Caenorhabditis elegans: one gene and its partners. The protein of the gene in region 1 purifies or fractionates together with the protein of each later gene. This does not show direct contact. Each region holds a gene or a part of one and is shown on either strand. Other genes may lie near its edges. The genes, in order: emb-8, metl-18, cytb-5.1 and rpb-7.

Evidence for each region.
Region 2: the proteins of emb-8 (region 1) and metl-18 fractionate together in Caenorhabditis elegans (co-fractionation; one large-scale study listed by BioGRID). This does not show direct contact.
Region 3: the proteins of emb-8 (region 1) and cytb-5.1 fractionate together in Caenorhabditis elegans (co-fractionation; one large-scale study listed by BioGRID). This does not show direct contact.
Region 4: the proteins of emb-8 (region 1) and rpb-7 fractionate together in Caenorhabditis elegans (co-fractionation; one large-scale study listed by BioGRID). This does not show direct contact.

The regions. Positions count from the first base shown.
Region 1 is NC_003281.10:5,196,082-5,205,035, forward strand, and holds emb-8 (NADPH--cytochrome P450 reductase), read right to left. Parts: upstream 3,597-8,954; 5' UTR 3,580-3,596; coding exon 3,458-3,579; intron 3,400-3,457; coding exon 3,306-3,399; intron 3,253-3,305; coding exon 2,254-3,252; intron 2,207-2,253; coding exon 1,958-2,206; intron 1,456-1,957; coding exon 1,159-1,455; intron 1,115-1,158; coding exon 887-1,114; 3' UTR 599-886; downstream 1-598. Other genes in the region: moc-6 (Molybdopterin synthase sulfur carrier subunit), read left to right, coding at 1-46, 98-151, 195-250, 504-582; ATPase morc-1, read right to left, coding at 7,905-7,973, 8,023-8,262, 8,312-8,954.
Region 2 is NC_003281.10:3,421,908-3,430,141, reverse strand, and holds metl-18 (protein-histidine N-methyltransferase), read right to left. Parts: upstream 4,405-8,234; 5' UTR 4,402-4,404; coding exon 4,237-4,401; intron 3,572-4,236; coding exon 3,419-3,571; intron 3,369-3,418; coding exon 3,250-3,368; intron 3,244-3,249; exon of another isoform or gene 3,150-3,243; intron 3,051-3,149; coding exon 2,952-3,050; intron 2,288-2,951; coding exon 2,134-2,287; 3' UTR 2,048-2,133; downstream 1-2,047. Other genes in the region: K01A11.1 (Spaetzle domain-containing protein), read left to right, coding at 1-107, 158-225, 430-562, 1,603-1,722; golg-4 (GRIP domain-containing protein), read right to left, coding at 5,399-5,536, 5,873-6,112, 6,652-7,291, 8,077-8,234.
Region 3 is NC_003284.9:13,998,173-14,005,416, reverse strand, and holds cytb-5.1 (Cytochrome b5), read right to left. Parts: upstream 3,494-7,244; 5' UTR 3,493-3,493; coding exon 3,379-3,492; intron 2,950-3,378; coding exon 2,821-2,949; intron 2,767-2,820; coding exon 2,690-2,766; intron 2,579-2,689; coding exon 2,494-2,578; 3' UTR 2,337-2,493; downstream 1-2,336. Other genes in the region: tbc-19 (TBC1 domain family member 2B), read left to right, coding at 398-522, 568-723, 770-948, 997-1,051, 1,094-1,267, 1,313-1,431, 1,498-1,572, 1,624-1,669 and 3 more; C31E10.6 (CCDC93 N-terminal domain-containing protein), read right to left, coding at 6,292-6,438, 6,486-6,681, 6,816-7,042, 7,089-7,244.
Region 4 is NC_003279.8:3,030,838-3,038,272, forward strand, and holds rpb-7 (DNA-directed RNA polymerase II subunit RPB7), read right to left. Parts: upstream 2,102-7,435; coding exon 2,033-2,101; intron 1,026-2,032; coding exon 501-1,025; downstream 1-500. Other genes in the region: sec-11 (Signal peptidase complex catalytic subunit SEC11), read right to left, coding at 196-255; Y54E10BR.2 (ADP-ribosylation factor-related protein 1), read left to right, coding at 2,169-2,261, 2,318-2,405, 2,459-2,623, 2,693-2,784, 2,850-2,987; mod-5 (Transporter), read right to left, coding at 4,401-4,609.

The DNA of each region.
Region 1 (8,954 bases):
ATTTTTCGGAGAAGCATGTCAGCTGGTCGGAAAAAGAGAAGAAGCGGTGGGCTTTTATTATTAGACGGAAACAATTTGGATAATTTTGAACTTTTAGATTGATTTTCCCGAAGAGACCGATTATGAAGAGATTCGGAAAACAATTTTAGAAGTAATAATTTACAGATTTCAAATTAAAAAATTGAATATTTCAGAATTACCCAGCTCTTCAAAAAATTGAAAAGGTTATGATGCTCGCAGTGGATCAGGAGTGAGTTTTCAGAAAATTGAGGTGCAACCGCGCTCTACGGCCAAATGGAAAAGCTCCGCCCCCAAAAGTTAGGTCTCGTTAGGTATTGGCAGCAAAACTGTTAATTGAAATGTTTTCAATAGCTTTTCATCATTTTTGTTATGTTTCGCGTTGTTTTTAAAGAAAGCTTTCGGAAGTGTCGTTGCCAATACCTAACGAGACCCAACTTTTGGCCGTCGCACATCTCTGCGTCTTTATAATATGTCGTTTACAGATATGCCAACCCCGGAGATCGTTTCGAATTGGTTCGCTTCACAGAAATCGCTGTAATTCCTCCATTGTCTGGTGGATAATCTTATTGTGATAATTCTTGTAGACTCTGTTTATTTCAATGAAAATTTGTGATATATTTGACAAAAAAAAACTAGAAAAGTGGGTTAGTGGGCGACAAAGGGTGCAAAATAGGGAAGAGAGGCGAAGTTTATACCCGAATTTCGAATGATTTTTTTTCTCTGTTTTGGGTTGAAAAGAGCTGGGCGATTGGGTGGGAGGTTATCACAGAAAAATGGGAAAAGGGGGAAATGCAATATTTTGTCTAAATCACAGAAAAATTACTGAAAAATTTTAAAAAAACTGAACAAAAATGAAATTTGAAAATTATGACCACACATCAGCTTGGTATCTTTTTGTCTTCTCCATATCTTTGAAGTAGGCGACAGCTTCCGTTTCAGATTTTCCTCCGATTTCTCTGAAAATCTTCTGAAGTGTTGCCTGAACGTCACGAGCCATGTTGCGGGCGTCTCCACAAATGTAGACGTGAGCTCCAACGTTAATAGCATCCCAGATACGATCACGAGTCTCCCACAAGCGATCTTGCACGTAGATCTAAAAATATCTTATTTAAAAGTCAATGAAACACGGTATCCTACCTTATGTTCCTGAGCTCTGGAGAAAGCGCAAACCAAGTGTGTGAGCACTTCGTCTTCTTGGAACTTTGCCAACTCATCTTTGTAGATGTAATCATGATCTGGATGACGGCATCCATAATACAAATGCATTGCTCCGATTTCCTTTCCGGCATTTTTGTGGAATTGACGATCTTGGAGGAATCCACGGAATGGAGCGAATCCTGTTCCGGGACCAATCATAATGACTTGAGTTGTGGTACGGTGGGGAAGACGCATTGTTGATTTACGAACGAAAACTGGAGATTTCGATCCGGCGTCCTGAAATTATTTGGATTTTTTTTTGGAAAAAGAAAGTGTGATAGTGAGAGTTTTTTGAGTGAGAGTACAGTGAGAGTTTTTTGAAATTTTGTTTTAAAAAATACAAAAATGAACCGTGATGGCCAAATATAACTGTTTAAAAATGTAATAAATTTTTCTAAATTTTTTTGAAATGGTTTTTCAATTTTGCAAATTGAAAAAAGAGATAATTATTTTTGAATTCCCGCGCAAATGCATCGTCCGGTTATGACATTTTTCTTAAAGTAAACTTGTATACATTTAAGATTTTTTTGCGAAAAAATGTCTGAAAATTTTACAAACTGTGCTTTAAATTGAAATTAGCCAGAAAATGCAAAAATGCCAAAACAGGGTGATTCATTTGCTAGGGAATTCGAAAATAGCTATTTTTCTTATTTGCAAAATTGATAAAATTATGAAAAAATTTGAAAAAGTTATATTCGATCATTACGGTTCATTTTCTATCATGTGCAAAAAAATTTACCTTGGTGGTCAAATATCTTGTACAAACTCCATTGATATCACGATCACCAATAGAATATTTAGTGACAACTGCACAAATTGCAATCTTTTCCTCATTTAATCTCGGAGATGAAGCAATACTGTAGTAACGGGCTTGAAGACGTGGAAGAAGTTCAAGAAGATACTCAATTGGTGGTTTACATGTCTTTTGATCAGTCAATACATCGACAATTGAACGACGCTCTTTGACAATGTATCTGGCGTACTCTTTCTGAAAAAAATTCAATTACTTCAAAATTAAAATTTAAAAAAACTCACCAAGCCCTCCTCATTGGCAGTTGATAACTTATTAAGGAATTCCTTTTCAGTATCATCCGTACAATATTCACTGATTGCTTTGAGCACATGAGATTTGACTGGAGCACAAATATCAACATAATGAGAAAGAGCAGTTCGGAATGTGGTTGGGCATGGGAATGGATGACGTTTTGATGCATCTTCATCAACGTTCACAAGACGGAATGCGTGATCAGGATCGAATTGAAGCATATTAATGAGACGATCAACAAGAACTGGATCATTTGTTGGGAAGACAGCCAGATGATCTCCTGCTTCATAACGAATACGGGATCCTTCAACAGAGAACTCAATATGTCTACAACTACGATCAGAATGTTCGGTATGAAGTTCATCATTGATCGCAACAGTAGCCAAATATGGATTTTTGACATCAAATGGTGGACGTGGACGTTCATAAGCTCCAAGTCGTCCAAATTCTCCCTTGAAAAGAGCTTTTCCTTCTTCAACTGGTTCCAATTGATATTGTCTCATTGTCTCGGCCTCTGTGTTCAACTCCCATCCAAATTCTTCAGCAACTTTTGGCAAGAAAGCTTCTCTCCAAATCATAAAATCTTCTTCAAGATTAGCATCATCATCTCCTAATCCCAAATGAAAGATTCTCTTGGCTCCAAGTTTTTCAAGTTGTTTGTCCATTTGAATTCCAATCTCATTAAAATGTTCATAAGTCTTATTTCCAAGTCCAAAAACTGCAAATCGAACACCCGACAGATCACAGTCTCCAGCATTCAAATATTCAACAAGTGTCACTGCATTATCAGTTGGATCTCCTTCTCCATATGTGGCAATGCATAGTACCAAAAGAGCATCCTCAACTTCACTCAAACGATTCAAATCTTCACATTCAATATCTTCTGGATCAACGACAACAGCCTTCTTGGTGTAACGAGTAAGATCTTTAGCAAGACGTCCAGACATTTCTTCAGCTGTTCCAGTTTGAGATCCGTACATGATAAGCACCTGAAATTAGAGAATTTTGATTCTATTTTCTTTAAAATTCCATATCAATTTACCTGTCGGTTCTCATTTTTCATTCGATCAATGAATGATTGATTCGATTTCGAAGCCGCAGCTGACGTGGTGACCGATGCTACGGTTGGCGAGTATCTGAAATTTTAATTTCAAATGTAAAAAAAATAATTTTCTGCATTTATTTTTAAAGTACCTGCTAGACGATGGTTGCTGATTGAAAACCTTCATGAAAAGGAATATAATTGCTCCACCAGCGAGCAGAGTGAGCACCACAAGGTCTGATGTGTCGAGACCCGACACAATCCACGCCAGCATGTTTAGAATGAGAGTTTCTGAAATTAAAGAATTATTTGAAAAGGAAGAGGGAGATATTGAAAAAGTAAATAAATAAGAAGTTATAGTTTAAACATGTTTTAAAATATTGCCGCTGAATTTTGCGATGTTTGCGCCGAGAAAATGACAAGTTTTTGTTAAATGCGCGTGCGCCTTTAAAAAGTACTGTAATTTCAAACTTTCGTTAATGTTGAATTTTAATTGATTTTCCATAGTTTTTTAAGTTTAATTTTATGTGATTTTTATTGTTTTCATGCATTTCTTTATTTTTTCAATAAATAAATAGTTTTTAAACAAAAATGTGTTTTTTTTCTGTTTTCAGGTGATTTCAGGTACTTAGAAAAATCCCGAATCAAACGAAAACAGAGGAAAACTCTGAAAAATTGATTGAAATGGCGCAGAAACGTTAGTTCGAAACTACAGTACACTTTGAAGGTGCACACCTTTTTGTATTTATCAAAAATTTGGCGTGTTGAGACTGGGTCCAGTGTTTTTGGCGCAAAAACCACAAGTTTGTCGCACTAAAATATATGTATTTTGAGAAATATCTGAATTTCTATCATATAACTGTAATAAATAATTTTTTACAAAAACAATTTCAACTAAAAACTTAATTTGAGATACGATTATCGTATAGCAAATTCAGTGAGTCTTTTTTCAAAAAAAAATGTACAGTCAATTTGTGTGAATGAATGGGAACATTAGACATATTGTTCTGTCTGTCCCCTTAATTTGGTCTTACAGTTAAAGAAAAAGAAGAAAAAACAAAAGCTACAGAAGAAAAATCGAATTAAGGGAGGGAGGTATATTGAAATAAACAAAGATACGCCGTGAGGAAAAGTTATTAGTGAAAAGAAAGTTGTATTTGCCAAGAAGGTGAGTATTTTATAGAAGCAGATAGTCAGAGAGTTTGCATCATTTTTTGAGGTTTGTGATCGACACACATAAAATATGATTTGGTGGTCGAAGAAAGATACTTCGAGAACACAAAATTTGTCAGACTTTGTATTGACACGTAGACTAGAGTACTGTTTAGCCAAAATTATCTTCTGAAAACAAAACTTCTAAAAACTATGTAATCTTAAAAAATTTCAGACATTTTGCAAGTACAGTAGGAAAATGCTTAAACAAAACTAAAACAAGGAGTCAGGAAAAATTGAAACAAAAAAAAACTGCGGCACAATATCTGATATAACCCAAGTAATTTTACGGCACAAATACAGTACCCAAGGTCTCGACACGACGAATGTTTGTTAAATATGAAAACACGTGCGCCGTTAAGGAGTACTGTAATTTCAAATTTTAGTTGTTGTTGAATTTTCATAATTTTCATCTCGCTATGTTGAAATTTGAGTTTTTAAAATAAATATATCTATTTTTTATCGAAAAACTTCGAAAAATTGTGGGAAATTCCGCAACAATGAAAATTTGAAGATACAGTACTCTTTCAAGGAGCACGACTTTCTACATTTTACAAAATTTGTTGTGTCGAGACCGGGAGCAATATTTCTGAAAATTAAATATTACTTGGTCACAAAAGAGAGTCAACTTTTGTAATAGAAATAAAATAAAATTGGTTATTTCCACTATTACAAGACTTTCAGAAATAATTAGTCGCCAAACGATTGTTTCAGTCAAAAATAATTTCCTAATTTGAATTAAACGTCAATTCAAGTCATGCGATGAAATAAATGACTGGTGAATAACTGTTGAAATTCAAAGATTGTCTGGTTAGGTTTAATCATTGATAAGAATTGAATTGAGAATTAGAGAAGAAAAGAAATTGCGAATTTTGTTTTTAAGTTGATAAGTCAAATAGATATGGACTGATTACACCGTCAAGCATTTTCTGTAGTTTATGTCACTTTTATCACATTTTGACAAAATTGGATGTTGTGTACGAAAACCACACGCAAAGTACGGTTTTATCAAACGAAAATGCGTTTTCTACAAAATTTGAAGTTCAAATGGAAAATCATAATTGTTTGCACGTAGTTTTCAATCAAAATATATCGTCACACTTGAGTTAAAAATTGAATTAGGCCCGATACAATGAACGGTCAGTCATCGAAGTCGACGTACATAGGGGCGCAGACAACACACACATTGAAGACGTGGAGGATTTCATTTTTTCCGGTTTTAATACAAGGAAGAGAATAAGAAAGGCAACAGGTGCCACTTTTAATTGGAAATCAAAAGGTTATGCGGAAGTCTGAAGAAAATCGAAAAATGTTTGATTTAAAAAAAACATCTCAGAGCATGATTGTAGAGCATAGAGTTGGTTGCCTAGGTTTCCATCTCAAAGAATAGGCTGTGATTGCAGGTGACCTGGCTACAGTGTACCCTTTATATTATCAAGAAGGATATCTCGGGGTTTTATTTTTTCTATGTTTGATGTCAGAGAAAGAATATCGAAAACATTATAGCGTCCTCATTAACGAAATTATCGGGAGGGTTTTTTTTTGATAAATGGAGAAGCGACATTTGGATAATTTGTTATATTATACTCGAAATAGTCCCAAAAGTTTCGAAAAAATTTTTTTTGTGAATTTCTGTATATGTGAAAAAAATCTATGAAATGTCACGAGATGAATGACAAAAAATTGCAAAATAAATATGAAAATAACCGAATATTTAAGTAATAATTTGCGACCGCTGCGACACGGAAAAGTTGGGAAAACTGGAAATTATTGCTGAAATCAGGTTTTTTTTTCGAAACTTTTGAACAGCCATGAAACTTTTGAGAATTCTTTGAAAAGTTTCGTGAAATTTGGATTTTAAGGGCATTTAGGGTATAATGAAGCAAAACAATTTTGATCGAAACAAATAAATTTAAAGAGACGAAGTTCAGGGGAAACATCTATAAATCGTGGAAAGAGAAGAAAACGAATATCCATTAATAAAAGTAGGTCAAATTGAACATCGAAAAGAAGAAACAGAGAGAGAGAGAGAGAGAGATCGTCTAGAATAAATCAACTACAAATGAAATCTTTCTTTTAAGCAATTCAAGCCTTAACAGTCACATTAACTATACACGAAGTTCCCCTAATACGACTATGATAGAGATAGAGAGAGAGAGAGAGGAAACAATTGAGAGGGAGTAACAGCCCACAAAAATCGCTTGTTCTTTTCTTCTTTCTCTTTCTTGTCTCTCTCTCTCTTCTCGTTCTGTTTCTCTACCTATCTCTCTTCAGTTCATGTGTTATCTATAATTGTTTTTCTCGTGAACAACTACCTCTATTGGCTACACTTGATCTCAAAGTGTGGTCTATGTTCTAGCCATTTTTGTACGTGTAGTTTTTGAAACCGATAGAAATGTGGAAAACAATTATGGCGAGTTTTGTTGGGGGAAACCGAAATTTCTATTTGAACAAAAACTTTTTGAAGATTCAAGACGTGGAATAGAACAAAAATGTCTAATTTATGTATCAAATTTGCAAGAAGATCGTGCAAAATACTCGAAATTCGGCGTTGTTCTCGAAGAGTCTTCCCCGATTCTCAAAAGATCGGTATCGGAAAATAAGTCGAATGATTTGAAGAAAAGATAAATTCGGTCTATTTCCATGAATATTATGCATGTGAAAAGAAAAATCGGGTTTTTATACGATTTTTTGAACTTGTACAAGATTTTGTTGGTGAAAATCGGATTAAAACATCGAACTAGAAACATTCAACCGAAAATGATTAATTTTGAATTAAATTTGTGATCATCGTCTAGAAAATTCTAAAAGTTAAAAAAGAGAACTAAACTACAAACCACGGATCAAAATGACTGTGTTCTGCTTGTGGTTTATGCTTACAAACACGTAGAGAAAAAATACAAATATTTTCAAAGTGATGGAGGCAACAAAGATAACAGTATGTTTTGATCATACGGAAGTAAAAATAGAAGATCAACAGATTCTTCACTGTAATTTCTGAAAATTGGTGTTTCAGCCTTAATTTGACTACTGGAAGTTCGAATTGAAATACATAGATGGATATATTTCTTTGCAGAAAAAACAACTCGATTGAAAAAAATTCATATTCTTACAAAAAAAAACATTCATACGTTCTTACTGAAGAGACAAAAAAAAAAAAGTAACCCATAATTGAAAAGAGAATTAGAAGAACGATAATAAATAAATGGGGTCGGGAAATGAGGTCGGGAACGATAATAAATAAATGAGGTCGGGAACGATAATAAATAAATGAGGTAAAAACGATAATGAAAAAAGAGAAAGCTAAAAATCTCTGAAAAGATTATAAATGAACATGCTATAATTGTACAAGTACGTCCTTCTGGGAAAACAGGGCGAGCTGGAATATTATTTTTTCTTTCCTTTGATTTGGTGCTCAATATTTTTCAGTTTCTCCTCGACAGTTCCAGAAGCAGGCTGAAATTTCAAAAGTTTCAACGATAAAAAAAAGATAAATAAAGCTTACAATCTTGAAATTATGTGTCGGGTTCCTCTTGAGATGATCAAGAACTGATCCAATCTGACGCATAATAGCTTGCTGTGCGTCTACGATTCTCTGATTGTTTTTGAAGTTTCGTCGTGAGGTTTGCTCCACAATGTTCGTCGGGTCAAAGTCTCGTTGACCGTTCTTTGGAAGAGGTTGTTCTCCATGAGCGGTCAGAAACTGGTTGAGCATTTCTTCTAGCCATTTCTCCCGAGTCATTTTCTGAAAAATATACACAGATTTTGTGATGCAAATATTTGAAAAAACTCACAGGTGCTCTCACAACAGCCTTTCCTTTGACTTTTGACTTTTTTGGCGCAGTAGCGTATCTTTCTTCGTTCTCAGAGTCTGAGTCATCATCTGATTGATCTCTTCTATTTCTTCTCGAAACTCTTTCAATTGGTCTTTTAGCACGTTGGCGCGGTGCTCTGATCGTCAGTGCCTCTTGCGACTCATCCGATTCTTCTCCCATAATCATATCCAATTGTGAACTTGGCGCAGTTCCAGCTCTACGAGAAATTTCGGAAACTGCGGGTGAGATTGCTCTTCCAGTACTGTGCCTGCGTTGGACTTCTGCGATATGACTGTCATGCGCATTGTTTGGAATGGGTTCCATCTTGACAGATGTTGTTGAGAATGATTCTCCCAATCTGTGACCACCAGTGGATGAATGAATTCTTTCGTGACTTTCTATCTTCGCGACGTTCAATAGACGAGACGAAGAAGAACAGGATGATGCCGAGCGAATAGAATTTTGAGAGTCGGACGATGATGGTGCTGAATTAGTCAACCGTTTCTGTGGTAGGATATGATCATATTTTTCCGGTAGTTTACTGAAGTCGTTATCTTCGGCGACAATGGTGCGACAACCATGATGGTTTACGTTTTCGCAGCAGAAGAAATCATCATTCGAG
Region 2 (8,234 bases), 1.8 Mb from region 1:
ACAGTGACTTGGCCTCGAGAATTCGATCGGAAAAATCAATACCAAGTACATTGACCACTCCACCTACAGTAACCTATCATAGACGTCATCATCATCATCACAAAAAGGTGTGCTAGAGTGACTTTTTTTGCAAAGAAAAATCAATCGATATTTTTAGAATCGGCGAGAGAAAAACGAAGAATTATGTGAAAGTCAGCGGAAAATAGTCGAATTGAATACACAGAGGTGAGTATCGATTTTTTAGAAATCGATAATTTTCACCCGTTTATCTATTTTTTCAAGAATTTCTAAACCAATCAGCTGAAATAGAGATCCTAAAACTGAAAAGTTTGTACCGTCTTATATTAAAGACGCGCCCCATTGAGATAATTATGATTGTCTCAATAGAGCGCACTTTCACCGGGACCTTCAAGTTTCCAATTTTTCCAGTCACGAATTTGACCCTCCGTTTGTTGTGGAAGTCCGTTGCCTAAATAGTCAATCACCGATTGGAAGTCTACTGTCTGGTCAAGAACAGACGTGTTTCAAGGGAATGTTACGTTGTGTGCAGCAGTATGCAGATGTGAGTTCTTGGGTCTCGCAGCGAAAATGCTGTAGATGGACTCTTGCGCGTAAGGTGTGACGCATTGTGTGAGCACACTCAATGCACCATGTTTTACGGGCAAATTCTGGAAAAATGTGATTTTTTTTTCAAATTTTTAGTAATAAAAAATTGTGCAATCACAGAGAAAACTGTGATTTTTCGGAAGACAATTTGAAAAAAAAACATTTTTGTTAATTATTTGAGCAAAAAGTAAATAATTAAACATATTTTGTGAGTAGTTTCAAATTCCCACGCACGCTCTCCTCAAGTGTTCATAATTATTAGAGCGCACTCGTGCGGTACCTCACGAACTCCAGAATTCGCGGGAATTCGTTTCGCCGGGACAGCAGTTTTTGGCTATTTTTGGCTTCTATGGAAAAACGAATTCCCGCGAATTCTGGAGTTCGTGAGGTGCCGCTCGAGCGCGCTCTAATAATTATGAACACTTGAGGAGAGCGTGGCCATGTATTTCAAAAAATTTTGCGCGTAAAATATGATGCAAGAAGCCCGCAAATTGTTTTATTACGGGAACACTAAATTCAGAGAATGCGTATTGCTCAACATATTTGACGCGCAAAATGTCTCGTAACGAAAACTACAGTAATCCTTTGAATGGCTACGGTAGTGCTTGTGACGATTTACGAGCTTGTTTTTCGAAATGAGTTCAAATTTTTTATTTATCGATAAAATATGAAAATTGTGCAAAAATAGAAATTAATACGAAAAAATGAGGGAAAATAGAATATCGATGTCAGTATTCGAAAAAAATTCATTTCGAAAGCCCGTAAACCGACACAAGCACTACAGTAGTAATTAAAAGAATTACTGTAGTTTTCGCTACGAGATATTTTGCGCGTCAAATATGTTGCGCAGTACGCACTGTCTACTTGAAAAATCCTTTTTCCCAATACATTTTTCTGTAAACTTTAGTGTTTTTCTGGGTTCCCCAAAAATTTCCACAAAAATTGCGCGTAAAATATAGTGTTTTTCACACACACTCAATTCCTAATTTCTTTTAGGTACACGTGTCTCGTCGTAGTGTTGGTTCAATTCATTGGCATCCATTTACAATTCCAGATGCTCCAATCTCTTGTCAATGTATGTGGCCAGTGGATCGATACGGTCATCAGGAGTTCTAGTCATTTTAGCCCCTTTTTGCGCACGTGGTGTCAGGATGTCCCATTACGGTTTGATCTACAAAAAATGCGGGAGTTTTTTTCTGCCTAAAAAAAGTGACGCCATCACGTTCTTAACCATACAGCATCAGTGCAGAACTCTGCGTCTCGTCTCCCGCATTTTTTGTAGATCGACGTAGATCAAGCCGAAATGAGACACTCTGACACCACGTGTTGCTGCTTAAATTGTCAGTACAAAACGTTCCATTTTTCCCATTTTTCTCATTATTCTCTCTACTTACAAACTAATGGCGGGTAGGTGTGCATTTTACGACTGATTTTTTTTCTTGAAATGAAACAGTTTTTATTGAAAAAGGACAATTCTTGAACAACTTAACAAATAAAAAACACAACAAAAAGACGAAAAAATTCAAATCATTTTTTCCGAATCTCCACAATCCGTCTGGGCACTGAAGCGGCGATCACTTTTGCCTCAGAAGCTTGAAGAATTCCGCGTTGATTGATAAATTCGCAGAATGCTGGAACACTTCCGCCGACGCCAAAGTAGAAGAATTTCGCGGCGAACCATCTGAAATTGAAGGGCTTGAAAATGGAAGAGTTTGAATCTCTTCCATGTGTCGATTTACGCAGCTCGTGTAGTCCTCGAGGAGAAGTTTTCGGCAAAAATTCGTATTCTGTGTGGGTTTTTTCAATGAAAAGAGACTCATTTTCAAGGAAATTCAATATTTTTTATATTTTTCGACACGATTTTTTAACCAAAGAAAAATGAAATTTATTTTAATCGGAATATTAAAAAAAACAATTTTTTGGGCAGAAAACATAGATTTTTAAAAAAATTTTTATTTAAACTATTTTTATCGAAAATTATACTTAAAAACGCTAAGAAATTCTTAAGAATGGGTCTCGCCGCGAAAAAAAGTTTATGGTAAAAAATCTCAGAACTTTTTGATATTAAAAAAAGGGGAAGAAGCGTTAAAGCTAATTCAACATTTTAAAAATTTTTTCTAATTTTTAAAAAAATTTTTCGACAAAAAAGGTTGTTTGTATACAAAAACCAACAAAAAACGTTCACTTTTCGTGATCAAAATCGATTTTCTGCGATTTTTGTCTAGCAAAATTGCCAAATATCATGTTAAGTACAGAAAAAAAACGGTCTCAAGCTTTAAAAAAAAAACTCTCTTCTCCTCGAGGAATACACGAGCTGCTGCGTAAATCGACACAAACGATCTTACGCGACTCCGTCATCCTTGATTGTTGCAGCGACCGCATCGTGGAGAGCTTGATAGTCATCTTCGTTGTAAATGGTTTCCGATGAGAGAATGAAGTCGAATCTGGTAAATGGAATATAACATAAAGTTCTGCGTCTTAGGCCCCCCCCCCCCCCCGTCTCCAGCCGGGCGCTATACAAAACGTCCACCAAGACGAGTCTACATCGCCGCCCGGTTAGCTCAGTCGGTAGAGCACCAGACTCTTAATCTGGTTGTCGCGGGTTCGAGCCCCGCATTGGGCTGATGTCTTTTTGCTGCTTACTTTCTTCCGCTCAATCGATTCGGAACCTCTTCCCATCCCATTGCTTCTCCTTGAACAACTGCTGAATGCGGATTTTCTTCGAAGTTTGGAAGTGTGAAGAACTCGATGACTGACGCGTTCTGCAATGTTTTAGATTAATTTTTTGTTTTAACTCATCTCGTAGACTTACAAAGTCCTGAGCGAAAACTTCCTTAGCTCCGTGTACCGCCGTGAGAATTGATGGAAGAGCTGCTCCACAGCCGAGCTCTAGAACTGATTTTCCGGCGAAAAGCGTTTGATTTTCTTCGATATAGTCGCAAAGATCGACGGTGCATTCCCAGATCTGCAAATTTATTTATTAAGTAAAAATTAAATTTAAAAAAAAACATTAAATTTTTATATTAGAAGAATTTTTTTTTTTTTTGCAAAATTGGATTTAATTTCAAAATTTCAATTTTTTTCTCAAATTTTTTTCTGAAAGAAAATTGAAAAAAAACGCTATTCTCAAAATTTTTATGCCACTAGATTTCGAACGCTTCAAATTAAAAAAAAATCGCAAATAGAATTCAAAAAAACATTTTTTCTGAAAATTTGAATTTCTAAATATAAAATTCGCAGAAAATCCAAATATATATTTATTTTGAATTTTTTAAAATTTTGGGAAAAAAAATTCAAATTTCAATTAGAATCAGTGAAAAACACGAAAAATAGGACCTAGTTTATCGGATAATTTCACAAAAATTTCTGAAAAATTCTCAAAATTATTTTTAAAAATTCCAGAAAAAAGGAGACTCAAAAAATTTAAAATGCAGAAAAAATCTAATTTTTTCAAATTTTTTAAAACAATATTTTATCGATTTTTTTTCGATTTTTTAAAATTTTCTTATGTTTGTTCAAGTTATTTCCATTTTTTTTTCACTTTCCCAAATAATTTTTTTTAATTAAAAAAACTCCAATTTTCAGTCAAAAATGTCGTTTTTTTTCTAAAATTCACGTCACAATCAGCACCTTAAATCCACCCTCATATTTGTGAACTGTAATATCGGACGTTTCCATATTTTCCAGCTCTTTTTTGTATCTTTCTTCTCCATTAAGCTCATCAATTCCCATTCGAATTTCCACTTCGTTCAAGTAGGAGATTTCTCGGCCATTGGTGAGCTTCAGCACGTTCATTCTGAAAAAATCTGGAATTTTTCGAAAAACTTGATTTTTTAAAAATTTTGGAATATCTGGAAATGTTTCAAAAAACCCGGAAGTTTTTAAAAAATTCTGAAATTTTCCAAAAAATTTGATCTTTTTTTTTTTGAAAAATATGATTTTTTTTAATCTGGAAATTTCCCGAAAAATATCAACTATTTTTCAAAAAATCTGAAAAAAAATTTTTTAACCCGATAAAATATCAAAATTGGTAAAAATCTAACGCAAGTTTGAAAAAATAAAAATAATTTTTTTTTTCGAAATAAATTAAAAAATTTTATTACATATATATTTCTCGTATATATACACAATAAATTGTTCGAAAAAAAATTGAAATAAAAATCTAAAAATTTTTCGGCGATTAATCACAGTCGTTGGGAGGATAAAGCAGAACAATATAGAGGAAACAGAATTTCTACGAAAAAAAAAATTATTTTTAAAAAAATTAGAAAAAAATCGGGGGATATTGTTTTCAAAAATCTAATAACCGGTAGGGGGTATATCCAAAAAAAAGAATTTTGTTAATTTGAAAAATATTGAAAAAAAAACTCTAATTACGGGGGTTAATCTAAAAGAAGACGTAATTTTGCCTGTAATTGGCTAATTTTCTCTCAGTGTCGATTTACGAGCGTTTTTTTTGATAGACAATTCGAAAAATTCCAATTTTTAGAAATTTTTTTTTTTTGTGGAAAATTTAAAAATTAGTTTTTTTGAATTTTTTTTGAAGAAAAAACTAATATTGCGATTATCGCAGAAAATTTTTTAAAAATAATTTTTCAAAAAATCGGTTCAAAAAATTCAATTTTCGGTTTTTTCCATAGAAAATATTGAAAAAAAAATCCAAAAATTTTCGACAAAAATCGTAAGCTCCGCCCATTTCTTGGCTATCACATTCTGAGAGAAAATTAGTCAGTTTCACACACAAAAAAACATGAAAAATGAGAGAAAATTGAGCAAAAATTAGAGTTTCGAATTATCGATTCAACGCATGGCTAACAGTTCCACCAACAGCTGCCGCCCAGCTTGCCTGCCTTGATTCTTCACTGCTTATCACATTTTTCATTTGAGACTCGTCGAATCGGGCCACAGTTCCAATTACACGGGCCAATGTCTGCAAAAATTTAGAAAAATTAGTTCAAATTTTACGAGATGAGCCAAGAAATGGGCGGAGCTTAAACTAAACATTTCAAAAAAATTGACTTAATTTTATTTTTTGAAAATTTTAAATTTTCTTTTTAAATTAAATTAATTTTAAATTCTCCGCCCATTTATTGGCAATTTTTCAAAAATTTTAGAAGTAGCTCCGCCCATTTATTGGTTTTTTTTACTTTTTTTCTAGATTAAGCTCCGCCCAATTATTGGCAATTTTTCGGAAAAATTTCAGTGTAAAATTGCATGAAAATCATGATTTTTCACCCAAAAATTCAAAAATTCAATTTCCCCTTACCACAGATTCTTTTCCAAGAGATTCTCGATTAGTCATGTATCGATATAGTACATTTCGTAGATATTCAGCTTCTGCCGGATCAGCAATTCCGTGTAATTCCATAGATTTCGTTCTGCCAGTTGAAGCATTTCCATTGGATCGTGGCGTCTTCTCGTTCCGTGAGACTTGCATTCGTAGATCATCTGCTTCGGTTAGTGAGGCGTCAAGCTTTTGTTTTAACGAGGCAATTTCTTCTTTGAACTGCAAAAAATGGGGCTTTTTTAGGGATTTAGTGCTCGAAAATTGAAAATTTCTCGATTTTTTTTGAGATTTTCAGTCAGTGTTGGAAAAATGACAAAAATATTTAAAAAAAAATTTTTTAATGTTAAATTCGAAGCATAAACTCGATTTTTGCTGAAATTTATGTCCGAGAAACTTGAATTTACGCTCGAATATTCGTTTAAAAAAAACGAGAAAATTTCCATTAAACAGGCAGAAATTTCTGAAAATCGACAGCTTTTCTGCCAAAACTCGATGACTCTATTTTCCAAAATTCTAGCTATTTTTAATTGGAAGCATTAGAAAAATACATTTTTTGAGGTTTTACACACGATTTTTAACGGAAAATTCAAAATTTTGAGCTGAAAATTGCTCTTTTTCAGTTGTTTTACCAATTTTCAAAACAATTTTCAGCCATTTTTTTCCAGTTTTTTTAGCCAAAAATTCGAATTTCTAGCGGTTTTTAGTTCATTTTTGACGATTTTCATCCAAATTTCCTCCATTTTCTCCCAATTTATTACCGAAAACTCGCTTCTTCTATCCTCTTCATCCATCTGTTTCTGTACTTGTAATTGCCCATTTTCAGCAGTTTCTTTTGAAGTTTTCAGTCGTGTTAACTCCTCTTGAACCATATCAAATTGCTGATTTTTATCATTCAACTCATTGTACAACTGCTTGACTTCTTTCTGAAGTTCTCGTACAACCTTCCTTGCATCTGTATCTGCTTTCACTGCTTTCGTCTCATTCGCTGCCGTTAGCTTCTTCACTTCAGCTTCAAGTCCTTCAATTCTGTCCGTGAGCTCTTTTGCTTCTCCTTCTAACATTTCTTTTTCAACTTCCCAGTGGCTTCTGTCCTTCTCTGCTGAAATTTCCTTAATCTTGAGCTCTTCAATTTCAGACTCCGAGCTTTTCAGCAATTCTTCCAGTGCTCTAAGCTTCTGCTCCGATTCTAGCTTCGCTTGCTCCGCCGAGGCTTCAAGTGTTTTAAATCGAGACTCTGAAGCTTCATCCTGAGAATTTTGAGCCTTTTTCAGTTTTTCTTCAAATTGAGAGGTTAGCTTGGCGATTTTCTTCTCGGCTGAAGCCTTCAACTCGTTGTAGGCCGTTTCTTTGACCTCTAAGGCCGAGCCCATTGTCTCCAGCTCCTTGGCAAATGTCTCTCTGAAAAATTTAAATTAAAATTTGATTTAAAATCTGAATTTTAAAAGATTTTCAGTCAAATTTAGCTAAAATTGTGAAAAATTGAATATTTTTGCGTTTTTTTTTCTCAAAATTTTTAAAAATTTCTTAAATTCGTTTTTTTGCCGTCTTCCAGTGACTTTTTGAGTTTTTTCAATTAAAACTTCGAATTTTTCGAGAAAATCAGAAAATTGGGAAAAATTGTTTTTTTGGAATTTTTTTTTAGCTTTTCTCCAATTTTCCCTGATTTTAGCCAACTTTTCTACTTTTTTGACATTTTTAGTGCAAATTTTAACCAAATTTGCCTTTAAATCCTTTTTTTTGACATTTTCAGTGAATTTGGAGCAAAAACTGTAATTTTTGAGATTTTTCATTTTTTCAAAAAATTTTCAGTCAGTTTTCTCGATTTTTCAAATGATTTTGGGTCAAAATTTTAAATTTTTTGAATAAAAATTTTAGAAAATCACAAATTTTGACTTTTTCGAGATTATTAGCTGAAAAATTTGCGTTTTTAGGCAGAATTTTTTTATTTCCCATTTTCTGGGATTTCTTAGATTTCTGAATCAGTTTTTTTCTCAAATTTTTATACTTTTAAGCCAAAATGTGAACTTTTTGAGCATTTTTTCAAATAAAAAATATTGAAAATCACCATTTTTGAGATTTTTGACGAAAAATTTCAAAAAAAAAAACCTTCGGGAAAACTTGAATTTACGCTAAAAAAATGCCTGAATATCAGATTTTTTTTCCGTTGTTTCCTCTAAAATTACCTCAATCGAATTTCCTCCATCTTCTCATTTTCTCTATCTGCCGTAGCTCGTTTCTCCCGTGTTTCCAGTTCTCCAAAATCCATTTTCGTCTTCTCAACAGTGGCTTTTTGGACGACAAGCTCTGTGCTAATGGTGGAGAGCTCAGAGCGGAGATCCGA
Region 3 (7,244 bases), on another chromosome or scaffold:
TATAAATGAGATGAACTCATTGAACTTAAAAAAACACAAAAACTGAAAACCTAATCAAATCAAAAAAGTTTTTATACTCATAATTTCTGTTGCCAGTGTAGTTAAAGGTGGGGTACCGAAATCTGAGAAATATTTTTAATTGACTCCAAATTTTCCCCTGATTCCGAATTTCCTTGATTTTATATTTGAGCTTAAAATCGCGATTTTCATTTGTGCACCCACGAGCTTTTTCAAATGCGTGCCGAAATAAATTATCGTTGGAGCGCGCTTGCTTAATTATTCGGAATCATGGGAAAACTTGGAGTCATTTTAAAATATTTCCCAGATTTCGGTACCCCACTTTTCAAAATATATTCAATAATCGGACCAATGAAAAAAAAATCTATCGCCTTCTCAGATCACCTGTATGACCGAATCACCGTTTGGTATTTTTCTAACTACCAACCACTCAACATTAATTCAACTATGGCATGACACCGCCTGCAATTTGTTGTATGATATTTCTTTCGACCACAAAACACGGTTATTTCAGTTGTCAATAACAATGAATATTGGAAAGTTTTTCAGAAAACCATCACTATCAGACACAGAAAATAGTAACTATGTAGAATCAATGCTGTTTAATGATGAAACGTTATGGTTGGGCACTTCTGATGGATACGTTTTTATTTATAACGTTGAAAATGAAACAGGAAAGGAGGAAGTAAAATATAAGCTGAAAAGGTTTTGATTTTAATTTCAAATTTAAATTTACAGTGTTTTCTTTCAGATTTCCTGGTGAAAAACGGCCGAGTCGGCGTGGATCGTCTGCAAGATCTCAAAGACTCGGTTCTCTTATTGAGAATAATGATGAAAGTGATGATAATGAAACTGTACCAATCTTTTGTGCTGAAAAGCGCGCAAGTCGGGTTAGCATTTCCATAGACAGAGAAACACACCAATATAGCAGTGAGAAATTCTATTGCAAAACATAATTCTGAAACATTATAGTTCCAGTTGCTTCATTCCAACAAAATCCAGAAGATGTAGATTTTCCGGGCAGCACATACAGGTAAAACCATACAAAAAATTAGAAAACACAACTATTTTTCAGCAGATTAAACAGCTCTTCATCGAAAACTTTGAGATCTCCCATGAAAAAGGGATTTAGTGCGGATTCGGCGGTTTCTGTTTTCAGCTCCGAGCCCAATGAGTTAATTGAAAAATGCGATGAAAACTTTCTGTCAGTGAAGAAAGAAAAAGATTCTCCGAGATTCAGGGACAATAGGTTTTTATTCAAAAACTTCTGACCAAATTCATTTTGTAATTGCAGATTCTTCAGTTCAACGAATTCCAGTTGTACTTCAATGGAATATGACGACACTTTTGAGCTATACTCGGATGAAGAACGATCAAGAAGAAGAGTTGCAATAACGTCTCATAAACGATTTGGTTAGTTTGGAATTTAAATATTGAATTCGTATTGACAAGAAATTAAAGCATCCGGCATAGTTTCAGCCACTCCATCAAAACAACTTAATCTTCAGCGGAAAGATTTAACATTTGATGATCCGTACATTGTCCCAGTCCCAGGTACATCTCAATATTTTACCGCACAGTTTAATGATCGCTTTTTGTTTTCAGAAAGTGCTGATAAAGAAACATCGAACGATGTAGAGGACAGTGCAGTGTATGGCCTCATTATAATGTACTATCAATAAGAGAGTAACATGGTTTTTTTTGCAGGGTCTCCAGCGTCAGGTTGTCCTTGTTCATGAAATTGAAAATATCGGAGACTTCCGTCAGAAAGATAATTTCTAGCGGGTGAGCAAAGTTTCAAGAGTTCACACAGTTGGAATGACGCAATTTGTGAACAAAGTTTTTTTTTCAACAATTGTTAAAGCGATTTTTTTACAAAATTGAATTGAGAAATTGAAGCTAAATATTGGGTAATGTTTTTACTAACTTAGTTAATTAGTTAACTAAGTAAGTGTTATAGAAAAATATAAACGACTTCAAGATTTTTTTTCGTTCACGCAACATTCACTCACTTCATGACAAGGAACTTATGGCATATCCAAGAAATTTTTTTCAGCGAGCACCACATTCTTACCTGCTCTGGAGAGTTTGGCGCCGACGAAGCAGTGTTGCTTTGGAGGAAAGATATTTCCACAGTAACTAATTCCAAGTTAGCTAACATAAAAGCTGTTTAATTTCAGAATCTTTGGATCAATGATCCAGTAACCCACGAAGTTCCAAACATACCTCCATCGTCAAAAACGTCCTCTTCAACACCAGCTTCCATTCAATCATTATCATTTCGATCGAAATGAAAACAAAATATTAAAGTCCCTTTTCAGTGTACATATGTTAATCACAGTGATGTATTTATTTTCGATAATAAAATCACAAAATGACATTTATTGGATAACAATGAAAAAAAAATCAGTTTTTTTTAAGTAAGATAATGCCCCAGTTTTCAAAATCATGGCGAAAATAGTGGATCAACAGTGATTACGCAGCGATAAGATAATAAACAAGAGCAACAATGACAGCAAGAAGGGCGAAGTAAACAATGTTGTCGGTTTGCATTGACTCTCTGAAAAAATATTATTATTCTGAGCTGAGATGCAGCGTTTAGTCAAAAGTTAACTTTTAAAATCATTTTTAAAAAAGTTCAAATTCAAAATAAAAGTATAACCCTACTTACCCTCCTCTCTGCTTGTTATCCTGTTCGGTGGTAGACTTCCATTGCTTCTTGTCATACGAGTAGGTTTTTCTCTCAGACTGGAACACAAAACAAATGAATGAAAATTATAAGCAAAAAAGGCAAAAACTTACTGCAACGACTTCTCCGATCAAATACTCGTCCTTCATATGCCTAGCGTCAGTGGAGTGCCCAACATCCTCGAATGCCTCAGTTCCATCACTTCCAGCCTGCTCAAGAAGGACCTCGCAACCTCCCGGATGCTGAAAAAAAAACATTATTAATTTTTAGTTTTGATGCGCCACGTGGTGCCAGCCTGTCCCATTACGGTTTGATCTACAAAAAATTCGGGAATTTTTGCCCCTATTTGTTTTCAAGTATTTCGATATCTTAATCGTCATGGTTTTGATTGTATCAAACAGTAAATTTTGTTTTAACGATAAAATAAGAATACATATTTGAAAGAGACGGTAACGGCTATTTTTGATAAAGTTGATGCTAAAAATTTTTGAGCAAGAAATCCTATCAATTGCAGAGAAAAAATTTAATTCCTTTTCATTTTTCATAGATGTCAATTTCTTTCTATTGATCAACAATGAATCTGCGTTTGTGTTATTCGTACCGTAAAGTGTGGTTTATGTCTGCCTACGTGCTTCGAGTACGGATTTCTAAATATCAGAACATAATCTTACCTCGTCCAAGAACTTGGTCACATCAAACACCTTGTTTCCAATTACAAGCCATGCTGATTTGTTTGTGTTGTGCTCGGCAATTTCCTTAAGGGTGATTTGCTTAAGATCGGCCATTCTGAAAATCATTTCGTGTTATTAAAAAATATATAGATATGAGAAGTATGGCAATAAAAAACATATTAAATTATGTTATTAAAATACAGGCCTGCAATACAAGACAGAAAAGACAGCAGCAATTGTGTCAAGGATGAAGAGAGAAAAATAGCTGACCAAGTTGAAAGGAGAAATAGAGAAACATGGGAAAGAGAGCAGAGAGACAATTTGAACAAACAAATAATAACGGCGGAGAAGAAATGGACGAGAGAATTGGGCAAAAGGAGTAGTGTGCCTGGGAGGGTGGCCTCGCGATGATCAATAGGCAATGAGACTATACTCTAACCTGATGTCATGACAACAGAACATGAGCATAAAGCACATTTTGGGAACACTTTGGAAATGTTAGTTTTGTGATTTCGAAACATGTGTATAATAACCAAAACGTTTAAAAGTAGAGATTCTATGAAAAATGATGAACTTACTTACTTACTTACTTAGTTAGTTAGTTACTTAGTCAATCCGTTCTTCAGGAATTCGGGGGATTCCTGCGGATCACAGACAATTATTCAAGAATTCATATTTTTTGAAAGTTGAATTTAAAAAAAACACCTGCAGTTTTGTTCGGTTTGTAGTGGTTTCAGACTGTTGACTAGTCGATTCAAATTGTCATACTTCATTATTGTCAAAAAAACGTTGTGTCAGAGTGTCCCATTCCGGTTTGATCTACGCAGATCTACAAGAATTGCGGGAATTTAGAAACAGACTTCTCAAGTGATTTCACAAAGTTGCTGACGTCGCATTTTATTGGGAAACAATTTCCCGCTTTTTTGTAGATCAAACCGCGATGGGAAAGCATGACACCACGTGAAAAAGAGTCCTTATTTTAATTCTAAAAACGTAAAGCTAACATCTCAATATTTTGAAAGACGTTGCTTCAAATAGAAAGAAACAAATTAGTCGAAAAAAACGTACATTTATATTTCTACTAAAAACTGTATAATAAACGAATCATCTCAAAACAACTGTTTATATCAGAATCTTAAAAATAAATTTAAAAAAAAAGCTTCAATTTTCAAATTTAGTGGAAGTGTTTAAAAAGGCAAATAGAAAAAATAAATCCAACTCTATAAGTAACGGTAGTTTTAATGTTTTAGTTTTTACTTAATTTAAAGCTGAAAAATAAAACTATCTACTTGTTGATTTCACAAATAGTTGCGTCTATTCATTCCAACTTTGGAGAGAAACAGAAATTGGGATGACCTGGATAGAACAAGAAAAGGGGAAGGTGCATGAGATGAAGGGCGAGATGTGACCGCCAAGGGATTAATGTACGCAGGCTACGCAGGCAACGTGGATCCGTTCCTATCGATCGATATGCAACGAAATGAAAATAAGTCTAGGGCTGCGTAGCCTTTTATACCAGTTGCTATACGCTCTCGCACCAGACCAAAGTAGGTTCGCCAGTATGGTCAAATGGGGCTAGAGAATGCTAGAGAAGAGAATCTATGGTTTGTAGTCTTCGGAACACACGTAGTCAAAGTAAATTTTCAAGAGAGAAAAAGAGTAGGAGAGTGATCAAAGGTGGTTGTGTATTTGATAAGGAAAGATTGTACAGATTGAATTTAACGTTGAGGAGAAAATAGACAAAGTAGTTTGTTGGTCATATTGACTACATGTTAAATTCATTTTCAATTTTGGAGGAAATGTGAGTAATACGACGAAACATTATTTTGCAAAATGGAACGTATCGTCGAAAATTTTTGAGTTGAAAATCTAAAGAAACATTTTATTTGAAACTATTCAAAGTTGGCTATTGCTCTTAAAGAACAATTTTTCCACAGTGTAACGTCTTTAAAAAACATACCTTATAGGCGGAGTACCGATATCTGGGAAATATTTTTGAATGGCTCCAAATGTTCCCCTGATTTCGTATTTGGGCTTAAAATCGCAATTTTCATTTGCGTCCCCATGAGCTTTTTCAAATTTGCGCCAAAATAAATTATCCTTGGAGCGCTTTTGCCTCATTTAATTTTCTCCTTATATTTTTACTTTCTTTTTCAGTTTTTCAGCTATTTTCGTTCATTTTTTGATAATAAAGTGTTCAATTCGCAGGAAAGAATATATTTTTCAAAACAAATGAACGAAAATAGCTGAAAACTAATTAAAAATATGCATAAAATTAAATGAGGCAAACGCGCTCCAAGGATAATTTATTTCGGCGCGGATTTGAAAAAGCTGATGGGGACGAAAAAGAAGTCGCGATTTCAAGCTCAAATATAAAATCAGCGAAATTTTTTTGAATTTTTTCATTTAGATATTCGGAATTAGGGAAAATTTGGAGTAATTTAAAAAAATTTCCCAAATTTCGGTACTCCACCTTTAATAATGTAACAACATGCGTTAAAACTATTGTTATCTCAAATATTCATTCCACTTTTTTGTATTTCCAAAAAGTTCCGAGCAAAAGAGCTTTTTCGTAATCTTATTTTCTCTATGGAATCTGAAATTAGTTTGTCTTTTTTGTAATTATTCATATATACTCACAGAAATGTGCTCACAGAATTTCAAAAAAAAAACCAACTAGATTCATTCAATAAATCAATATTTTATTAATAAAATCCGGGTATTACGTGGCGAGTGGGCGGGGGTGCGACAATCGAAAAATTTCAGTGACAATGGTGGAAGGGAAATCATGAGATATGAGAAATCATTGTTGTGATGGGGAAATCGTATACATAGTATGAACACAAGTTGCAAAATGGCAAATAAAGCAGCGAAAAGAAAGAATTATGGAATGTTTTTTTTTGATTTGTGTGTCTACTTCTTGAACGCTGCATAGTCCAATTCCCAACTTTTTGGGAGTTCCGAGGAGTTGTTACCAGCACCCGCTTTTTTGAAAAGATCTTGTTCCCAGGTGCTCATATATTTTCTCTTCTGGAACAGCAAGTCGCTCAGGGCATGATACTGAAATTTCCGACTTTCATTTGTAAGGTTTCAAAATGTATTCTTACTTTGGCATTTTCACGAGAAGCGCACTTCACCAGATGGCACATTTTCTTCGTGTCAAAGCTTAGACGGAGATTTCTCTCACACAAGTTTCTGCGTTGATCTTTCAGGAACTTTGCCTTTCCCAGCCAATCCGACAAGAACATGCAAGCATCGCTTGTGTAGCCAATGTATGCAACACGGTAGTCGTACTCGGTCCTTCTGAAAAAAAAATTTGGTAAGTGGGGCAGCCTCTCCTATGGTGCCAAAATGACCAAACATCTAAATAAAACTTTTTTTCAAAAAATGTTTGCAAACTTATAATATCAGAAGTATGTATCAATTTAAACACTTACTCCTTTGGTTGAGGCATTGAATTCACATGACCGATCATCTTGTTGACTGTTGACAAAATTTCATTTATGTCGCTCGCAATTGTGTGATCGATTTCGTTGAGCATGCTGAATGGATCATCGTCAATGTTGTCGGCCATCGAACCTTGCTCTCTTTTCTGGCGAACTTCAATATACTCCTCAAAGGCTTTTCTGACAGCTTGCTCAATGCTCTGGGCGATTTGAGCTTTCTGAAACAATTTATTGGGAAATACTATACAAAGATCCGTCAATAACCTTCTGCAGAATCAACCTTTCCTTCCGGTGATTTTCCAATTTTTCTCTACGAAATGGACAATACTTCTTAAATGCACCATTTTGATCTTTATTTGCAGCAAGCGTCTTCTCAACTTCCACAGCTAATTCAAGCTCTTGAGAAAAATCTGTGTGAAA
Region 4 (7,435 bases), on another chromosome or scaffold:
AAAAAAATTTTTACGAATTAAAAACTCCTGCGCGGTCCTGAAAAGAAAAACATATTTTCCATGAAAAATATTAAATTTGTCTTAAAAACTAAATTTTCTCTGGATTTTTCGATGATTTCCTATAAAAATACACCCTTTTTCCACTGAAAATCCCTTTTTTTCGCTCGAAAATAATTTTTTTGCAAAATTCAGTACCTGACGAATATTCATCTGGCGGATCTCGCTGAACATCGCAACATCGGGAAGGAACTTCATCTGAAATGGGATTATGCGAGTTTTAAGTCCAATTAAAGAATATAAATGAGGAGAATATAAAAAAAAAGATATTAAAAATGGTAAAAAACCAAGTTTTAAGTTCCAAAAAGCAAGTAAAACCAATAAAATGAGATCCTTTAAGGTTTAAACGTAACAGATGGATTTTAAAAAAAGTAAAAATTAAAATATTGTGAAATAACGTGGTGATAGATAAATTATGATACAGCGAATCGTTGAAAACCAGATCATTCCGCTTGGCACAGTCCGAGAAAATCGTCCATCAAGGTTCCGATGGCAAAAATGTCGTTAGCATCGACACGTGTTCCGATGAGCTTCACACGGATCTCATCATCATTCCGAATCACATTCGCCTCATCATTGGTCTTGTAGCACGGTTTCTCACTGTTCGGATCGAATTCCATGTCTGGTGGAATACAATGACGACTGATGAAGCATGAAAGTGGTCCGATATCACAGAAAATGCCGACTTTATTGACCTGTGTGACGACTCCATCGACGACTTGTCCTTTGAACGGGCGGAACACGATGGCCTTGTAACGGACCGGGTAGATGACGAATCCACGGCCAGGCTGGATCAGGCCGTGGCCGATCGTGTCGATTGTGGTGACTGCGATGACGAATCCGTACTTTCCTGTGCACGTTCCCTCGACTTCGTTGAACAGCTTCATTTTGATGGTTTCGTTCAGGTTTGGACCGAAATATTTCGGATGGAGGCAGACTTCATGGTCGAGTGACAAGTGGAAGAACATCTGAAAGTTCTTAAATTTGTATTTAAAAGAGGAAATCGTAACGGTTCTGGGTTTTTTAGTGATTTTTTTTGGTTTAAAACTCAAATTTCTATCGATTTTTGCATGTAAACTCTGTGTTTCAAGCATAAAAATCGTTTTTTAAAATTTAATTTTTACTATTAAAACAGGAGTAATTTTTAACGTTGAAGATCCAAAATGTGCTCAAATGGACGAATTTCGTAATGAAATTTCTCAAAATTCCGAAAAACCCGGCTAAGTTCACTTGTTCAGTAAGCCCGTTCAGAATATACCCAGATTTAAACCAAATTAAAACCGTACAAGCCTATATTGTGAATTTATCTGCACAAATTTGGTTTGGATCTACACAAACCTACACAAATTCAGTTTACATCTACTCAAACTTGCAATCTATGCAAATTATGTTTGAATCTAGACAATCTTGGTTTACATCTGCCCAAAATTAGAATTTTTCATAATATAGGCTTGTACGGTTTAAATCTGGGTATATTCTGAACGGGTTTACTGAGTGGAATAGCGAAATTTGGCCACTTTTCCGCGTCGCGGCGATGGAAAGTTCACTTTTTTTTAAATTATCATCCTTTATTGCTTAAAAACGTGAGATAATCGATCAAATTATGCAAAAAGAGATGAAAATTCCAAAAAAGTCCACTTCCAATCGCTGCGACATGGAAAGTAGCCAGAATTGGAGATTTTACCCGACATAAAAAATGTTCGAGCACTCTTTAAGAATTTTTATTGCAAAATTCGCTTATTTGAGCATATTTCGGTCTTATACATTCAAAATACCTAGAATCTTTACTCCTAAAAGTTAAAAACCCCCTTAGAGAAATTTTATGCACGAATTCTGGATTTTACACACAAAAAATCGATTTCTGATCAAGTATTTATTGCGTAAAACAAGAAAATTGAGTTTTAAAACCAAAAAAAAACAATTAAAAACGAAAAAATCCACCAAAATCTATTCGAAAAATAAATAAATTTCGTACACGAAGCGTAAGCGCACCAGTTGCGTGCCAACGAGACGAAGAATGCGCCAGCAGGCGTCCTTGGCGCATATCTCGTTTTTCTTTTATTTTGCCAACTCCGCTCGGTTTTTCCTCTTTAAAATCGAATATTTCACATATGTACACACTTTCGGCGGGTATCTGGGAGAAATTCTTCAAGAAAAAAGACTATTATGTGGTGATAGTCGGTCTGGATAATGCTGGAAAAACTGTAAGTCTCTTGAATTTGAGATCTCACCGATTAATATCAGAAATTATCGATTTCAGACGTTTCTGGAGCAAACAAAATCTCACTTTGTAAAGGACTACGGGGTTCTGAATCCATCAAAAATCACGGCGACAGTTGGTTTGAATAGTAAGCCTCTAAAATGAATTAAAAATCAAAAAATTTTTTTTTTCAATTTTCAGCTGGAAATGTCGAGCTCAACAACACATGTCTTCATTTCTGGGATCTCGGAGGCCAGGAGAGTTTACGAGAACTCTGGGCGACATATTACGACGATGCAAATGCCATGATTTTTGTTGTGGACGCAACAAGGAGCGATCTCTTCCCAATAGTAGCATCTCAGTTTAGTAAGTAGTTTGAAATTGAAATAAATCAAATTTATACCAGAAATAATAATAATAATACGAATATTTCAGAAGAAGTAATGGCCAACGAAATAGTTCAAAATATTCCAGTTTTAGTAGCGGTGAATAAAAGTGAAATGGAAGGAGCCGCCGCTGCCGCTGAGGTCAGATTTTTCTCAAAAATCGAAAAAAAAAACCGAAATTCCTGCATTAAAATCATATTTTCCAGGTCCGAATGCTGCTCGAAGACGACAATCACCGCTCGGACCTTGCAGTTCTTCCGGTTTCGGCGCTAGAAGGAACAAATATCGAAAGATGTGTTCACTGGATCGTCCGATCGTTGGCTAGCCAGCCATTATACCTTTAACCTCTCGGGTAGCTGTATATAATAATTATAATCTATTGCATACTGACATGAATAGAAGAATCCTGTGATGATTTCCTAACCTCACTGCAACTTTTTTGAATGAGGGACGAGGAAATACGGTTTCTAGGCCACGGCCGGGGATCCGACAAGATTTAGCGGCAATTTATTTTGCTTTGTTTTCCGCGTTTTTTCTTTGGTTTTTCACCGATTTTTCTCCCGTTTTTTTCTTATTAACACTGATGAATAAATATTTTTTGCAGATGCTAGAACAATTTCCAACTGAAAAATTGTGTAGCGATGGATTACGGGAATACTAAACCTAAACTTTTTCCGAATCATGAAATATATGCTGCTTAGAGGCTGAAACTACCTGATTTTCATAACGAGACCGCTGAAAAAGTTTTGAGATTTTTAAAATTCAACTTTTTTGGTGAAAAAGTCGATATTTTCGCACAAAATGTTGAATTTTAAAAATCTCAAAACTTTTTTTCAGCGGTCTCGTTATGAAAATCAAGTAGTTTCAGCATCTAAGCAGTATATATATCATGTTTCGGAAAAAGTTTAGGTTTGGTATGCCTGTAATCCATCATATTACATTGATCATTTTCACCGCTTCTTGCCGATTGTTCTAGCATCTGCGAAAAAATATTTATCCATCAGTTTTAATAGGAAAAACGGGAAAAAAAACTGTGAAAAACAAAAAAAAAAACAAGCGGAAAACAAAGCAAGATAAATTGCCGCTAAATCTTGTCGGATCCTCGGCCATGGCCTAGAAACCGCATTTCCTCGTCCCTCGTTTAAGAAAAGTTGCAGTGAACCCCTTCCCCTCTACCATGTTTTAATACGGTTTCGGCTGATCTGACTTATTACACAAAAAAATGATATTAGTATTTAAGTATTAAATATTTTTGTTTATATCGTGCAATAAAAATTCTTTTTTTAATTGATTATTTACAAAATTTCAGAAAACGAAAGCTTGTGAGTTATGAGATTAAATAGGAATTGGCACCGCGTGGATGGTTAAAGAGATCGGGAAAAATAAAACGCTACTCCAGAAATAATTCGAGTTCGAGAATTGAAAAATATTTTAAAAATTTGAAAAAGTGGAAGAAAAATCAATAAATCGATAATAACTGTTGAAATTAAAAGATCGATTCGTGAAAAGAGGCAGAGCGTAATTTTGCAATCCTGCGGCACGGTTTTGCTGATTTTTTCTATAAAATTTCGATTTGAATTCTCTTTTTTTTTTAATAAAAAGACTATCCAATTTAGTTTTTATTTAAAAAAAAAGAGAATAAAACGGGCGTCAAAATAGGTGGAAAAACCGTGCCGCAAGGTTGCGAAATTACGCTCCGCCTTTTTTTCTGTGCACGGCTATCGATCGTTGACTTCCAACAGTACACCAAGAATTATCTAAACTGGAGTAAGTGTATGAATTGGATCTAAAAGAGAACTATCGATAATTTGTGTGGGATCAGCGGCGAGAGAAGTCGCCGAATTTCGGCGTTGTTGAGGAGTTATTGCCCATCGGAAGCGTTCGTAAAGTGTGCCGGTACCGCTGAGCAGGTAGATTATTGCGAAGACAGGAATTGCGAGGACTGAGAGAAGTCTCAGGAACCAACCTGGAAATATTGGATTTAAAACTAATTGCTTTGAATTCTCATGCAAAACTTATATTTTTCACGTGGTGCCAGGCTGTCCCATCACGGTTTGATCTACAAAAAATGCGGCATTTTTTTCCCCAAAAAATGTGACGTCAGCACGTTCTTAACCGTGCAAAATCAGTTGAGAAGTCTGCGTCTCTTCTCCCGCATTTTTATAGATCAACGTAGATCAAACCGAAATAAGACACTCTGACACCACATGATTTTTTCATGATAGCGCAAAAAATTTCCTCTGGTTACGGTAGATTTAAAGGCGCATAGCTAACAAATATCTTTCGTTGCGAGGCCATAGCTTAAAAAATTTTTGAATTAAAAAAAAACATCAATTTTGTCTTTTATTTTAGTTTTTTCAAGAAAAATATTTCTTGCGCGTGGGGGACTGGCGAAAAAGAGTCTCGACACGAGCATTTTTTGTTTTCTGAAAAGGTGTGTGCCTTTGAAGTGTACTGTTGTTTCAAACTCTATTACGGAAACACAAAAATCTGAGAATGCGTATTTCGCAACATATTTGACGCGAAAAATATCTCGTAGCGAAAACCACGGCCCGGCGAAAGAGACGTGGCCGCGAGAGCTGCGCCGGCTAGGCCACCGCCTCCTATGGTTAAGATTTTTGAACGAATAAACATTTTTAATTTGGCTGCTAAGCTCATTTATCTTTGTTTTTTCTCGTTTTTTCTCATTTTTATCGATAAAAATATATTTTTTGTTGCAGAAAATCACAAAACCGCGGCAAAACAGCACTCAACCGCCAACTGGGAGGAGGAAAATCCGAAAAAAGAGTTTTTTCCATCTAGTGAAAAAATCCTATAGAATTTTATATTAAAAATGCCTTCATAGCATTTGTCTTGATGCCAGCTTTCGAAAAAGTACAAGAAAACAAACTTTCATGTCGAAAAAATCGAGAAAAATTGAAAAATGTGAAAAAAATGCACTACGGAGATTTTCGTGTCTGGAAAATCCCAACATTCCTATAGAATTTCGATATTTTTTTGACGTTTTTGCGTTTTACTGGACGAGATCTTTTTAAAAACACCAAAAAATCGAGGCCCCATGTTCAAAAAGTGAACTTTTTTAAAAAGAAAATTTCAATAGTACTGAAATTAAAAAAAAATTTTTTTTCGAAAAACTGTATAGAATTTCGATATTTTTTTGACATTTTCACGTACTACTGGACGAGATCTTTCTAAAAAGACCAAAAAATCGAGGCTCCATGTTCAAAAAGTGAACTTTTTTTAAAAAGAAAATTTCAATAGTACTGAAATTTAAAAAAATTTTTTTTCGAAAAACTGTATAGAATTTCGTTTTTTTTTTGACGTTTTTGCGTTTTACTGGACGAGATCTTTTTAAAAACACCAAAAAATCGAGGCCCCATGTTCAAAAAGTGAACTTTTTTTAAAAAGAAAATTTCAATAGTACTGAAATTTTTAAAAAATTTTTTTCGAAAAACTGTATAGATTTTCGATATTTTTTTGACATTTTCACGTTCTACTGGACGAGATCTTTCTAAAAAGACCAAAAATCGATAGTCTATGATCAAAAAGTAAACTTTTTTTCGAAAAGAAAATTTCATATCAAATTCGAAATCAAATTTGTCACGAAGCTGACGTTGGACCTTTCATTAAAAAATTTTTCCAGGATTTTATACTCCGATTATTCGTCTTTTGGATACGTGATGGCTGATGTTTGGAATCGTTTATCGACTCATCGTTCAACAGGAAGCGCCTAAAAACGGCATAAATCGCTGCTGGAATGCAATTAACCTTGGTACTTTTCGATTCATTATCCAGGTAACAGTGGATGGCAATACTTCAGTATGAAGCAAGTGTACAATATTCATAATATGGTTAGTTTCCAATAAGATAATTGTAACTTAAAAAATCAGAATTTTTTTAGAATCAACCCTATTGCGAATGGATCGCGCTGCCACCGCCGCTGCCACATAAAGATGCCCGAATAGAACTCGTATAAGCCCCGATTTGGACTGACAGTTACACCACCTATGGCAGAAGTCCACGATGTTTATGGAATCTAACAAACTCCTAATGAAATTTCCAAAAAATTGCGTCAAGATAACTGGACAAGAAGAAAAGCTAAAAGGAAATAATCTCTCTTATCGCAATTTCTAACTGATCACTTACGGATTAGGTCTTTTTGCAATCTTTTAAATTTTTATTGAATATCTTTTACATTTTTATTAAGTATTAACATTGTTATTTTAATATATTAATAAACGAATTTCAATAATAACACGCGTTTTTCAATAATCAAATGTGGTATTATACGATTTAGGGAATTTCAGGGCTCTAAAACTCGAAAAAATTGGCCAAAATCGAGAAACGTTGCGAAAAACTGTTTAAAGTATCGATTTTCTTCAATATCAGCAACATACAATCCTTTAAAATGATTATTTTTTGTAAATTCGATAAAAATTCATTTATTTTTCACAACTTCTGCCCGAAAATTACCGAAATAACCAGCGTTTCTATAACTAAGAAAGTGTCGTCAATTAAAATGCCGCGTCCGCAAAATGTCGTACGAAACTTTTCGCTGAGTATCAAACGTTGAATATTCAGTCAGCCAAATTTTACTACGGTAGAGATTTTACAGCCACGTACGGTTCGCCGGGCCGTGAAAACTACAGTAATTCCTTAAATGACTATTTACTGTGTTGCTTGTGTCGATTTACGGGCGCGATTTATCGATGGAATATTTAAATTAGGCAAAAAATGAGAAAATAATACGAAAAAACGGAATATCGCTGTCATTATTCGAAAATAAATTTAT